Oryzias latipes: one gene and its partners. The protein of the gene in region 1 interacts with the protein of each later gene in a pairwise test. Links are inferred from orthologs where the notes say so. Each region holds a gene or a part of one and is shown in the gene's direction. Other genes may lie near its edges.

Evidence for each region.
Region 2: the proteins of mal2 (region 1) and ptpn9 interact in binary tests that used the Homo sapiens proteins (3 or more experiments, as listed by UniProt). The two-hybrid records come from large-scale screens. The link is inferred for Oryzias latipes from reciprocal best matches to the Homo sapiens genes MAL2 and PTPN9.
Region 3: the proteins of mal2 (region 1) and tpd52 interact in a two-hybrid assay, tested with the Homo sapiens proteins (2 studies listed by BioGRID and IntAct). The link is inferred for Oryzias latipes from reciprocal best matches to the Homo sapiens genes MAL2 and TPD52.

What each region holds. Positions count from the first base shown.
Region 1 is NC_019874.2:10,913,652-10,917,769, forward strand, and holds the start of mal2 (protein MAL2), read left to right. Parts: upstream 1-1,318; 5' UTR 1,319-1,479; coding exon 1,480-1,629; intron 1,630-4,118. UniProt on the Homo sapiens protein: Member of the machinery of polarized transport. Required for the indirect transcytotic route at the step of the egress of the transcytosing cargo from perinuclear endosomes in order for it to travel to the apical surface via a raft-dependent pathway.
Region 2 is NC_019864.2:10,375,711-10,379,229, forward strand, and holds part of ptpn9 (tyrosine-protein phosphatase non-receptor type 9), read left to right. Parts: intron 1-2,610; coding exon 2,611-2,754; intron 2,755-3,519. UniProt on the Homo sapiens protein: Protein-tyrosine phosphatase that could participate in the transfer of hydrophobic ligands or in functions of the Golgi apparatus.
Region 3 is NC_019869.2:23,407,835-23,411,353, forward strand, and holds part of tpd52 (tumor protein D52), read left to right. Parts: intron 1-696; coding exon 697-738; intron 739-1,224; coding exon 1,225-1,273; intron 1,274-2,309; coding exon 2,310-2,435; 3' UTR 2,436-3,519.

The sequences.
Region 1 (4,118 bases):
TGCATGGTATAGGCCCTTTAATATTTTAAACTAAACAGTGAGTACATTTTCTTATAAATGAAATAAATGTAAAATTAATAGTGTTTGACGCCCTGCGACAGACTGGTGACCTGTCCAGGGTGTCCCCAGCCTTCGCCCACAAGTGGCCGGACACGCTCTGGCAGCCCCCTGACCCCGAAAAGGACAAAACGGCTTAGGAGATGAAAGAATGAACGACTGTTTGACCTCTGAATGTGTTATTTTTGAAAAACCATTGAGCCTTTTAAAGGTTTTATGAAGAGAATCCAAATCAAAACTAGTATAAAACAAGAAAAAAACTCATCACAAACAATGAAAAATAGACTTTGACTATACAAGGGAAAAGATTCAGTCCACTAAAAATGAACAGTGCCCTCTTGGAGGTTAAACCAACATTGGTTAACATAATCTAAACTCAAGCTAATCATTGACAGTGGTTTATCATAAAAACTGTGCTTTTTCACCATGACAGCCCAGTGGTTCAGTTTAAATCTGTCATTTATTTCACAGGACACCATACAAGTGTTATTTTAGTAACATTTGTGTTCCTTTAAAAGTCTTTGGTGAAATTACAATATAAAAGTAAACTTTTTTTTCAATGTTATCTAGGTCATTTCTATTTTTTTAAAGCAGGTTTTTTTTTAAATCATGTTTAGGTTTATAAAGATTTAGGTTTCCCAACACCGTCTGGTCAAGTTTTCCTCTTGTCTAACAAACCTGATTAAGCTCCTGAGTTTAATCATGACTTGAGAATGAGTCATTTATTTGAGTTGGGTGTGTTTGACAGAGAAAAGCAGTAAAACACTCTGGGCAGGGATGCTTAAGGAACAGGGTTGTGAAACACATAGTGATTCCTAATAAGAAAAAGGAAGAAAACTGCTATCCTTGATCGTTACAGGGCCAAAGGGCATTTGATAAAAGCATAATCATGCAAATTTCAGAGTTGGCAATATCAAACACTAATAATAAAAGTGTGGAAAAACTTGAAGAAGTGCCTCATATATGTTTTACTCGTGCCTGTTTGACACATGCGAGATTTTCTTTCAGAAATGTTAAATAAAATGTAGGTTATTCCAAATAATTGATTTTCCCAACACTTTTCCTGTAGAACATTGGACAAAATAAAGGGGCTTTTTCTACTTATTTTAGTCAAACTACTAATTTAGTTGACTACACAAGACTACAATGTAATAACAATACCAGAACACGTTTATAATATATTTATAATAAACTTTTTAAACCCGTCCTTGTTTTATAAAATGGATATTGTGATGTGGGATCTTCCGAGACGTCCCTGAACGCATCCCTCGTATCCAGGGAGTGGCCGCTGCACCTGTCCGACCTGTTCGAGGACACATGATTCCGCAGGAATTTCTGCCTCTGTGCCCGTCCTTTGTTTAACGGGTAAATTCAGAGAGCTTAGTTATTCAGAGAGCAAGGAGATACAAGGAGAGGTGAAAAATGTCGGAGCCAGCCTCTAACCCCGCCGCCGCCACCGCTGCCCCGGTGGACCCCGCCGCCGCCACCTCCTTCCCGACGGCAACCATTTCTCTACCTCTGGGTTTGGGTGTGTTACGGACTTATTCTGGAGTTCTCATCTGCATAGAAATAGTGAGTGATTGTTTACAAGCGGTTGTTTTATTCTATATTTATTCACATCCTTATTACTAATATATAGTAAAATCTGTTAGGAATCAGTTTTTGTCTATAGTTTAGTTTGTTACTGTTGTTGCAAACTGTATCTGCTCATTCGACATCATGTCTCTTAGGGATGCGACTTTTGCACATTTGTAGTCGTGCGCTAAAGTCACGTCCTTTAATATAAAATTATAGAAGAAGACCACAAGTGAGTTTTGGTTTGTGTCTACATTATTGTGTCATAAACATACAAGGTGACCTCTGCACAGCACTTCCATGAAAGCTCTAATCTAATCTAACAGGTATTTTACTACTTATCTTGATGCCTTAGTTTGTGCAGAAAAGGAAGAGCATATGTTGGAAACATTCAAAGAATTAATTGCCGATCTGTGGCTATTAAGGTGTGAGCCTGGTTGATGTTAACCCTTGAACTTCCCACCCACTAAAATAATGCTTTTAGTTGGTTTTGTGAAAAAGAAAACTTACCTAATAAGGATGATCAGAGAAGAATGCATTATGAACTAACAATTTATGATACTTTGCTTCAAAAGAATCATAAAAAATTGGACATTTTAATCAAGGGCTAAGTAAATTCCTTAAAAAGATTGAGAGAGAAAACAAGCAGCAAAGATGCCAAAATGGCCAAAGTTTTTCAATTATTCACCAACTAAAATGCAATAACACTTACGTGGTATAATTAATTTGCCAAGATATTGAGTGCCTCGGGGTAACTGTTCAAATGATGCATGACAATTTTCACATAGATGCCATACACTTAAAACTTTCAGCTCATGTTAGTAAAGGGGAGCATTAAGCAGGAGAACAAATCCAACCATTGCAGAAAAATATTTTCATATTTACCTCTTGAACTGCATACATGCCTTGTCCTCAATTACAGGAAGAAAGTGTACTTTCAATCATTCATCTGCTAAACCTGGATTGTCCCTTTTGGGGTCATGGGGCTGCCGGAGCCTATCAAGGCCACTCGTGGGCAAAGGCAGGGGACATCCTGGACGCCAGTCTGTCACAGGACCACAATCACACACCCATGCACACCCACATTCACACCTAGGGACAATTTAGAGAAGGGCTGCACGATAAGAGGAAAACTTGCGATATTAGTGATCAATATTGCGATGACGATATAACTTGCAATAAATGAACAAATAGCAAAATCAACAAAAATATTTCCATTTCACTGAACAGTTTAATTTAAATAAGAGTCAAAATGCCTTTAATTATTCTCCAAATGACCCTCGTCTAATTAGGAGGGCAACATCTAACATAAAAGCTCCATCGGATTGGTTAGCAATGTGAAAGGCTCCATCTGATTGGTATCAAGGGATTTATTCAATTATGTATTCAATTCTTATGATTCAAGTGGCCATAAGATTTTTTTAGCACATTTAAGGTTTACCTTTTATTGCGATTTTAGCTGTCTTTTGTGATATGGATAATGCACAGCGATAATGCATCGCGATAACAATAAATTTGCGATTTATTGTGCAGGCCTAATTTAGAGTAACTAATTAACATGTGAAGCATGTTTCTGGAGGTGGGCGGAAGCTGGAGTCCCCAGAAAAAGCCCATGCAAACTCCACACAGAGAGGTACCCCATTGGTGTTCTGTTTCATGTCTATGGCGTTTCATGGCTGCCACTAATTTTATCAAGCGCAAAGATAAGGACTGACTGAGCGAAACTTATAACTGCGCAATTTCAACCGAGCGACCCCGCATTTTACAACTGCACAGTTGCAATCTTAACCGAGTGGCGATCCTGCATGCTCGCTGGGTTTGCGCGAAGTGTTCAGGGGGTGTTTTTGTCACTTGGGGGCAGTAACCTTTCTGGTTGATCTGATTGGCAGAAATCTGTATGTCAAATCCAGTGAGGCAGCGGGGCGGGAGTTTAAATTTTTTTAGAGGCTTTAATAGAAAATAACGGCGAACATATTGTGGATTGAAATGTTAACGAAAACACGAATTCAGTGATTTTACATGAGAAAAACTTACACAAAAAAAAAAACCCACTGCACTTTCTTAACTTAGCTTATGAGCTGAAGTAAAGCTTTTTCTTTTCCCTGAATGAAACCAATTAATGTGTGCGATTTTTTCATTCACGTTTTTATTTCACACACACACACATGTACAAGAGGTTGCAACACAGATTCACCATTTCTAATTGATTTGTTCATTTATATGTTTATAAAGAAAATTGATCAGTTTACAATTACAGTTTGAGTTTTATTAAAATACTGGCTCATTTAAGAGCATAGAGTGTTTTTAATCAATATAATCTATATGTTTTTGTCACTTGAGGCAGTAACCTCTCATTTTTTTGGCTTTGATAGCATAAAAGACGACGGATGTAACGTGGATTAAAATGTTTACGAACAACCCAAAACCAATTATGGGAATAAGTTTAAGTTCAGGTTTTTTTCGACTGGGACATAATGAAAGACCAA
Region 2 (3,519 bases), on another chromosome or scaffold:
GAGAGACCGACTTAAAGTCTCACTTTACCTTGTTCCACCCAGCCATCCAGTTTTGGAACCATTGACTGTATTAGAGAACTGGACCGGATGAGTGTGACGTCACCCATAGAAAATGGCTCACTCCCAACTCCAATGAAATGAAGTCCATTCATTCACCTTTTTTTTTTTTTGAGACGCAGACATTGCCATGTTGGTTTACTCTGCAGTGTCTTCTCTGTGCCTACCCTTTCTGCTGACTCTTCATCATCTGGCCAGCAGAAAGTGCCTTATCTGCCTATTCCATTTCCTGTGTGAGCCGGAGGGCCCCTGCTTCAGAACCGGACGCCCCTATTCACCATTTTTTTGAGACATGGACATTGCCATGTTGGAGCCAGACATCGTCGGTAAGCAGCGATTGGTCTGGGTCGTTCTGAGGCATTGCCTGTGTGGTGAAAGTTAATCAATTAGTCATCGGTGGAGACAGTCAGACCGCTAACAGGATTATGTAATGTCCGCTGTGCGTTGGAGAGTCACAACCTCTTCTGTTTGGTGTTCGAAATCACTGGTCATTTTCAGAGTCAACAAGGTGTAAACAGGAAGTGGTGTTTTTTTTTTTTTTAAACAAATATTTATGCATCCTTCAAGATTTGATTGGAGAAGTCTGCTGTGCTTTTCTAAAAACAAACCGCTTCATCTTCAGGGTCCTGGCTGCTGGAAAGAAATGGCCAGACAGGAGTGGCTTCTCCAGGAACTGAAGGTCACTGCTTGGCGTTGGCAGTCTGTCCTTAAAAGGCCAAGAGAGAAAGCAATCTGTTTTTCTCGTTTTTCTCAACATGTCGTTATCAATTCATCATTAGTTTTCCAGTTGGTACGAACAGTGACTTTCCCCACAGGTTGGAACTGAATAACCTTTTTTGTGTAAAATTGAATCTTGGAGTGCAGGAGCTTTTCAACGTAAACTTTGCTCTTTGATACAACCCCGACGAACTGGCCTCAGCCCCATCAGGTGCAGACACCCCTCTTCCCCTCTTGAATGCAGAGGCTTCTTTACCATGTACGATGCGGCGGGCCCTCCAGCCTCTGAAAGCACTGGCTTTCCTGCAGAGACACAGTGGCATCCTGTCTTCAGGCCCCGAGCTCGTCAGGGATCTTTTTGTGCTGCCGGAGGGCCGTGGATTCCCAGAACCTGACTTCCTGTCTCTCGTGCATGCCTCATCACTGCTCTGTGTTTGTGTGTGTGTGGGTGTGAGAGAGCAGAGAGGAGAGGCCTGTGTTTAAAGTGCGAGCTTTCATTGCCGACTGAGGATTCACTCAGTGCTCACTGGCTGGTCAGGTGGGGGGAATTGTACTTGCAGAAAGCCTTAATAGAGTAATTGGCTAAATGCACACGTATGGAGTCCAAGCCCCGTAAGTGGAAGGAAGGCAGAAGGCTGTAGATACAACCACATGGTGTGAAAAGTGCTGAAATAGCTGACATTTAACAAGACCACGCCTTAAAGACCCACTCTGGTCATCTTTTGATCCAAGTTTAATTATGATAATGCAGTTTTTACCCGAAATTTTAAAATAATCTGTCATTTTTTTAGGACATAGTTTCTGCAGAGTGGCAGGACTTCACCAGAAGTTTGCCTCTCAGTGGTGGGCGGGACTGTTGTTTTAAGCTTAATGTTTTGGCTAAATCTTGATTTTTCGTAATATATATGTCCTCCGTGACAAAAATTCCTCAAGAACATTTTAAAAATGCCATTTTCATTGGAGTGGGTCCGTAAGGCAAGATGAACCTCCGCCTCATCATAGATAGAAATCACTTTTTTTTTCTTCTTTTTTTTTTTTTAACAAATGTCAGTGCCATCTCTCACCAAGCCAACAAATAACCACTGGCTTCTATTTCAGGACTCCACACCTACACAGTTTCACAGCAAAGTGCACTTAGAGCTCTTTAGTGAGCACAGCCTGCTATTATAGCAGCTCATCCTTCCTCAAATGACACCACATGTTTTTATCTTCTGCTGTGTGCCACGAACAAGCAACACTTCTATTCACCTCTTTGCCATTGACTATAGAAGATCTAGACTGAGTGACTCCTCCCCCCTCACATTCAAAACAGGAAGTACCCAAAAACCAAAATCCTATAGACCTCTATTTAAAAATAAACTGCTATTACTCAATCTACTTGTTAAAACAACATACTGGATATAATCGTTTTTTTTTTTCTTGATAATTTATTTTATTTTTTCTGTGATATTTTTTCTTTATTAACCGACTAGTCAGATGCCTCCATTTTTTTAAGTTGTCGAGGTGTGGACTTTCAACAACTTCACTCGTGATTGGTGAGATTGGTTGCCATAGAAACGCTGACTCAGACTAACTTGGACCAATCGCTGCTTACAGACTGACGACGTCTGGCTCGTGAAATAATGGCATGTGAAGTGAGTTCATTTGGTTGGAGCTGGATGTTTGCACATTTCTATGGGTGACATCACCCATCATCTCAATCTGTCAATTTCTCATACATCGTCAATGGTTTTTACCAGAACGTTCTGTGGTTGTTTTTCTCTCAGAAGATGCATCAGGTTTAAAGTCTTGTAACATCTGTGGGGTTTTTATTTTATCTTTATTTATTTTTTTCAGGCCACCAGGCAGTTTCTGGAGGAAATCAACAAGTGGACCATTCAGCATGGCGTGTCTCCACTGTCCAAGGAACTGGCTATCAAATTCCTCATGGCGCGCAAGTTTGACGTTCTCCGGGCCATCGAACTTTTCCACAGTTACAGGGTGAGCGGAGCCACGGCAGCAGAACATTCTCATCAAGTTTTACCATAAAACGTCCAGAGATGAATGCAAGCCGAGGCGAAAAGCAGAGAGGTCAAGCAGGTCACCGAAATATTGGGGCGGGGCTTAAATAAATCAATTTATCATATCAGTACTTCTAGAAAATGATCAAAAACATGAATTGATTATTAAAGCAGTTTCTTCTACTTTTTAAGTGGTTAAAGCACTTCTGTTAGATTTGAAAGATTTCTGTGTTTTCTTTTAAAAGGGATCATTTAAAAAGGAAAATTCAAATGAAATCCATAGCTTTGAAGACTTTCTATAACCAAATAGACAAACTGATTCGTCTGGGTGAGACTGAAGCTCTGAAAGTACCATCTTAAAGAGCCCAAAGGCAGATTATCACTGAGCTCAGTGTGGGATTTTTCTTCTGGTCAAAATCCTAATCTGAAATACAGCAAAACATCTCGTCTATGAAACAAAATCCTACTCCAAGTCATCCAAATTATTCAGTGATCAATAAAACCAAGCGTTTCGTTTACTGGGGTGTACAAAATGAATAGACCACACCCACCTCACCTGTGCACAGGGAGCCTCTGGCATCTGTGTTAGATGGGGCAGCTTTGGCGCCAATGTAGAGCAGTTGACCTCTGATCGGAGGATTGTAGGTTCGGTTCCCGCCTTACCAACTCATGTTTTGGAGTGTCCTTGGGCAACACACTGAACCCTACATTATACCTAGTAGTTACAGGCTGGCAGCAGTGTTCA
Region 3 (3,519 bases), on another chromosome or scaffold:
TCTTTCCCCTTACAGTTCCTCTGTGTATGTGCAGAAAGTTTTGTGTGCTGCGATCATGCCGATCACTGCTTGTCATTGGTTCCTCCCTCGCAGTAAAGCCTCATTTGTTGGTAAATAGTAGAAAACCAATCAAGTTGATTGTTTTTTATTATTATTATTGATTTCTAATAAATGACCAACAACAACAGTGACTGTCAGTATTTCCAGATAACACACAGTTCAGTTGCATAGATTCTCCTCCAGATTATAATCTGCCTTTTCCCTCGGCATCCTTCTTCTCTCTGGATTATTTAGCTGCAAACAAGATTATTAGCTCCACCTAAAGCTTCTGTGTGCTGAGAAATGCAACCACATTGATGAGCCTGAGCTTAGGGGTCTTTGGGGGTGGGGTAGCGATGTGACAGCGGTCGTGTGTGTGTGTGTGTGTGTGTGTGTGTGTGTGGGTGTGTGTGTGTGTGTGTGTGTGTGTGTGTGTGTGGGGACCACATATTCACCCTTAATGCAAAGGATTAGCACAGACCCTCTGTGATAGGATGCGATCGATCCTAATAGGATGAAGCGGGTTTATGGGATTTCTGCAGTGAGTGAGAATCCCCCCAACTTTAGTTGTGTTTGTTTTTGTGTGTTCTTTTTGTGTGTCGCTGCTCTTTGATTCTCCCTAACTCCTGCTCTTCTCTCCACAATGCTGTCGGATAGTTTACAATCAATTCAGCACTCGGCTAGCATGCCTGTCATAAGGTAAGAGCGGCCAAAGCGGTTTACGTTGACGCGGCAACAACACAGAGGACGCGCGCCTTGAATTAAACATGAGCGTGTTTGTCAGCAGCAGCTTCTTATCCCATGTTTTCAGAGCAGGGGGGACCACTGCTGTGCTGCAGTGTCCCTCCACCTGCTACTGTGAGATCAGGCCCAGCAGCAGAAATCAAACTGGAACACGGATAAAACCTGAGGCAGCCTCAGGAACCGAGTCGGTTCAAAGAACCAGACTTCAGTCTAAAGCCAACAGGGTTTTGGTCTGGGAAACCCTGTTTCATCCTGTATTCTCCCAAAGAGGACAATAAGGAAGTGTGCATGTGGAAAATGAAACTGTAATTAATCTCAAACGTTCTTCCGCTTTAAGGATATTTGGTCTGTTTATCTGCATTTTGTTTTAAATTTTTATACAGAGGCCAGATCAGTTAACCTGTCAGTAAATAACTAACTTTTGTGTCTTTCTTTTCCCAGAAATGCACCAACCTTCAAGTCTTTGGAGGAGAAAGTTGAGACACTGAAGGTAACGGATGAATAAAGTCACTAACCTGAAATCAGCAGAAATGTTTGGGTCCAGCAGTGCAGAAAGCTTGGAGCCGGTTCCTGTCTGAACTGAACAACTCAGGTGTTTTTAACATCTGTTTGTTCTGATGGACAGAATATATGAAGAGATTTAAGCTTAAAACTGCATTTCTGAGTATTTCTTTATTTAAATCATTGCAAATCAGGAGCAGAAGAATAAATGCAGTTTGAAAAATAGCATTTTTGTGATGCCAGGAGGGCCACAGGGTCCCTGCTCCGCTCCATTCTGATGCATCCACTTGCAGACGTTTAGATCCATGAACGTCTTTGTTTTCCTCGTCTGAGCTGGAATCTGGATCAAATCTGGACAGCTCCCACGTCGCTTGCCGTTTTCGTGGGAGCTAGCTGTCCCACACAGATGGATCTCAGAAATGGGTGGGGTAGCGCCGTGCCAACAGTCCCACCCACAACGCAGAGGCGAATTTCTTATGAACCACACCTGCTCTGCAGAAACGATACAGGTTTTTAAAACTTTTGGCTAAATTTAGCTACATCATCATCACTGGGAACGTTTGTACAACAGATCCAAAGAGGAGCCATTTTTATTTTCAAGCAAAAACTTTCGTTCGGTCATCATTTCTGTGAAAACGGATAGTTTTAAATTGGTTTTAGAATGAAGAACTGAAAAATGTGTCAACACCATTAAAAGCTGAAAAATGTAGTATTAATGCTGTAAATCTAGCACGATTACCTGGTTATGTTTGAGGAATTAACCAGTTTTTTGATTTTGTTTTTGACCACATTGTCAGATTTTTTTCAAGTAGATGCTAAATTCGTTTGAGATGGTTTATGGAAGCGGTTTGATGTCTTTGCATCAATCGGTTATGTGAGGTTTCAATTCAAACTGTATTTGTCTGCAGACTGTTTCAGCAGAAATGTCGTGTTGCATTATTTCTGAGGGAATTTGACATTTTATTGTTTTTTTTAAAAAACAAAAAAAAACAAAATTAAGTTTTGTTGTTGTTTTTCCTCTGCAGACCAAAATCACTCCATCAGGACCCGGCAGTGATCCCAGTAACCCTGACAGCCAGGACGATCCTCCATCTGAGTCTCTGGGGGGTCAGCCGGAAGACCCTCCCACTGAGGACACGCCGATGAAATGAGACCAGCCTCCATCCTCATGTGACCCCCCCACCACCACCACCACCCCTCGTGTGCCAGTCTCCCTTCATTGGAACCAAGTGACTCACCAGCCTCCCCTGTGATCTAATTGTCTGATCGCTTCTCCAGCTTCTACACACTGAGCATGCTCAGACTGCTTGCATGGGGAACCCTTCCTGTATCTTTTTTTTTGTCGCCATTATTTTCCCTGCACTCCTTTTTGTTTTTTCCATGTTTGTACAAAATGCCAAACGTGTTCCAGTGAAGTTTATCTCGATCAAATCCTGCTCCTTCAGTTGTTGAAGATTGCACAATGACAAAGGTGTTCTCTATCAGAAGACATTCTGTTCGTGTGAAGACATTAGTTAACTTACTGTGTTATTAGACCATATATTGCTTAGGTGATGTTAAAAATCTCATGTTCGTTTTAGGGCCGCTTTGGATCATTTTGGGATTTATTGGCCAAACTGTTGGGTTTTTCTTCAGTGTGTTGATTTCTGAGACCCATCAGAAGCATAAAGTATTGTGAAGCACTATGTCCAAGCAATGAACGTATGCTTGTTTTGTGCTAAAAGTACAAAAAAGTGTGTCGCTTGCACCGCATTTGGAAGGAAATGTTCACACAGCTTGTTGTAATTTCAGAATCAAACCCCCGTTTTCCTCTGCAGAGATCAGCACAGCAGTGGTGGGGGGGGGGGGGGGGGCAAACACATAGCGAAGCTTCAGCCTTGACCTGAGGTGAGGCTGGAATAACCGTCTGTTCTGCAGCCAGCGAGAGTCAATATTTAAACACTCGTTCATTGTTCCTGCCAGGGAGGCGACAGCAAGCCTCCACACATTCTGTGTGATACATTAAACAAAGGCATGGCAAAGGGAGCCGCACTGGGTGTTCAGCACCCTGATGCAAGACAGAAACATCACAAAGAAGGTGCAACGTCCTCCGTTTTTCTCACGCGAGTCACGTCCAAATGAATACTCTGTTTACTGCTGCATTACATTGTTACAGTATTTAAAGAGCTCATTTTCTCTAGATTCAATCAAAGTCAGAGAATCATCTCGTCTGCGAGAACTGCTGTTGTTAAAATT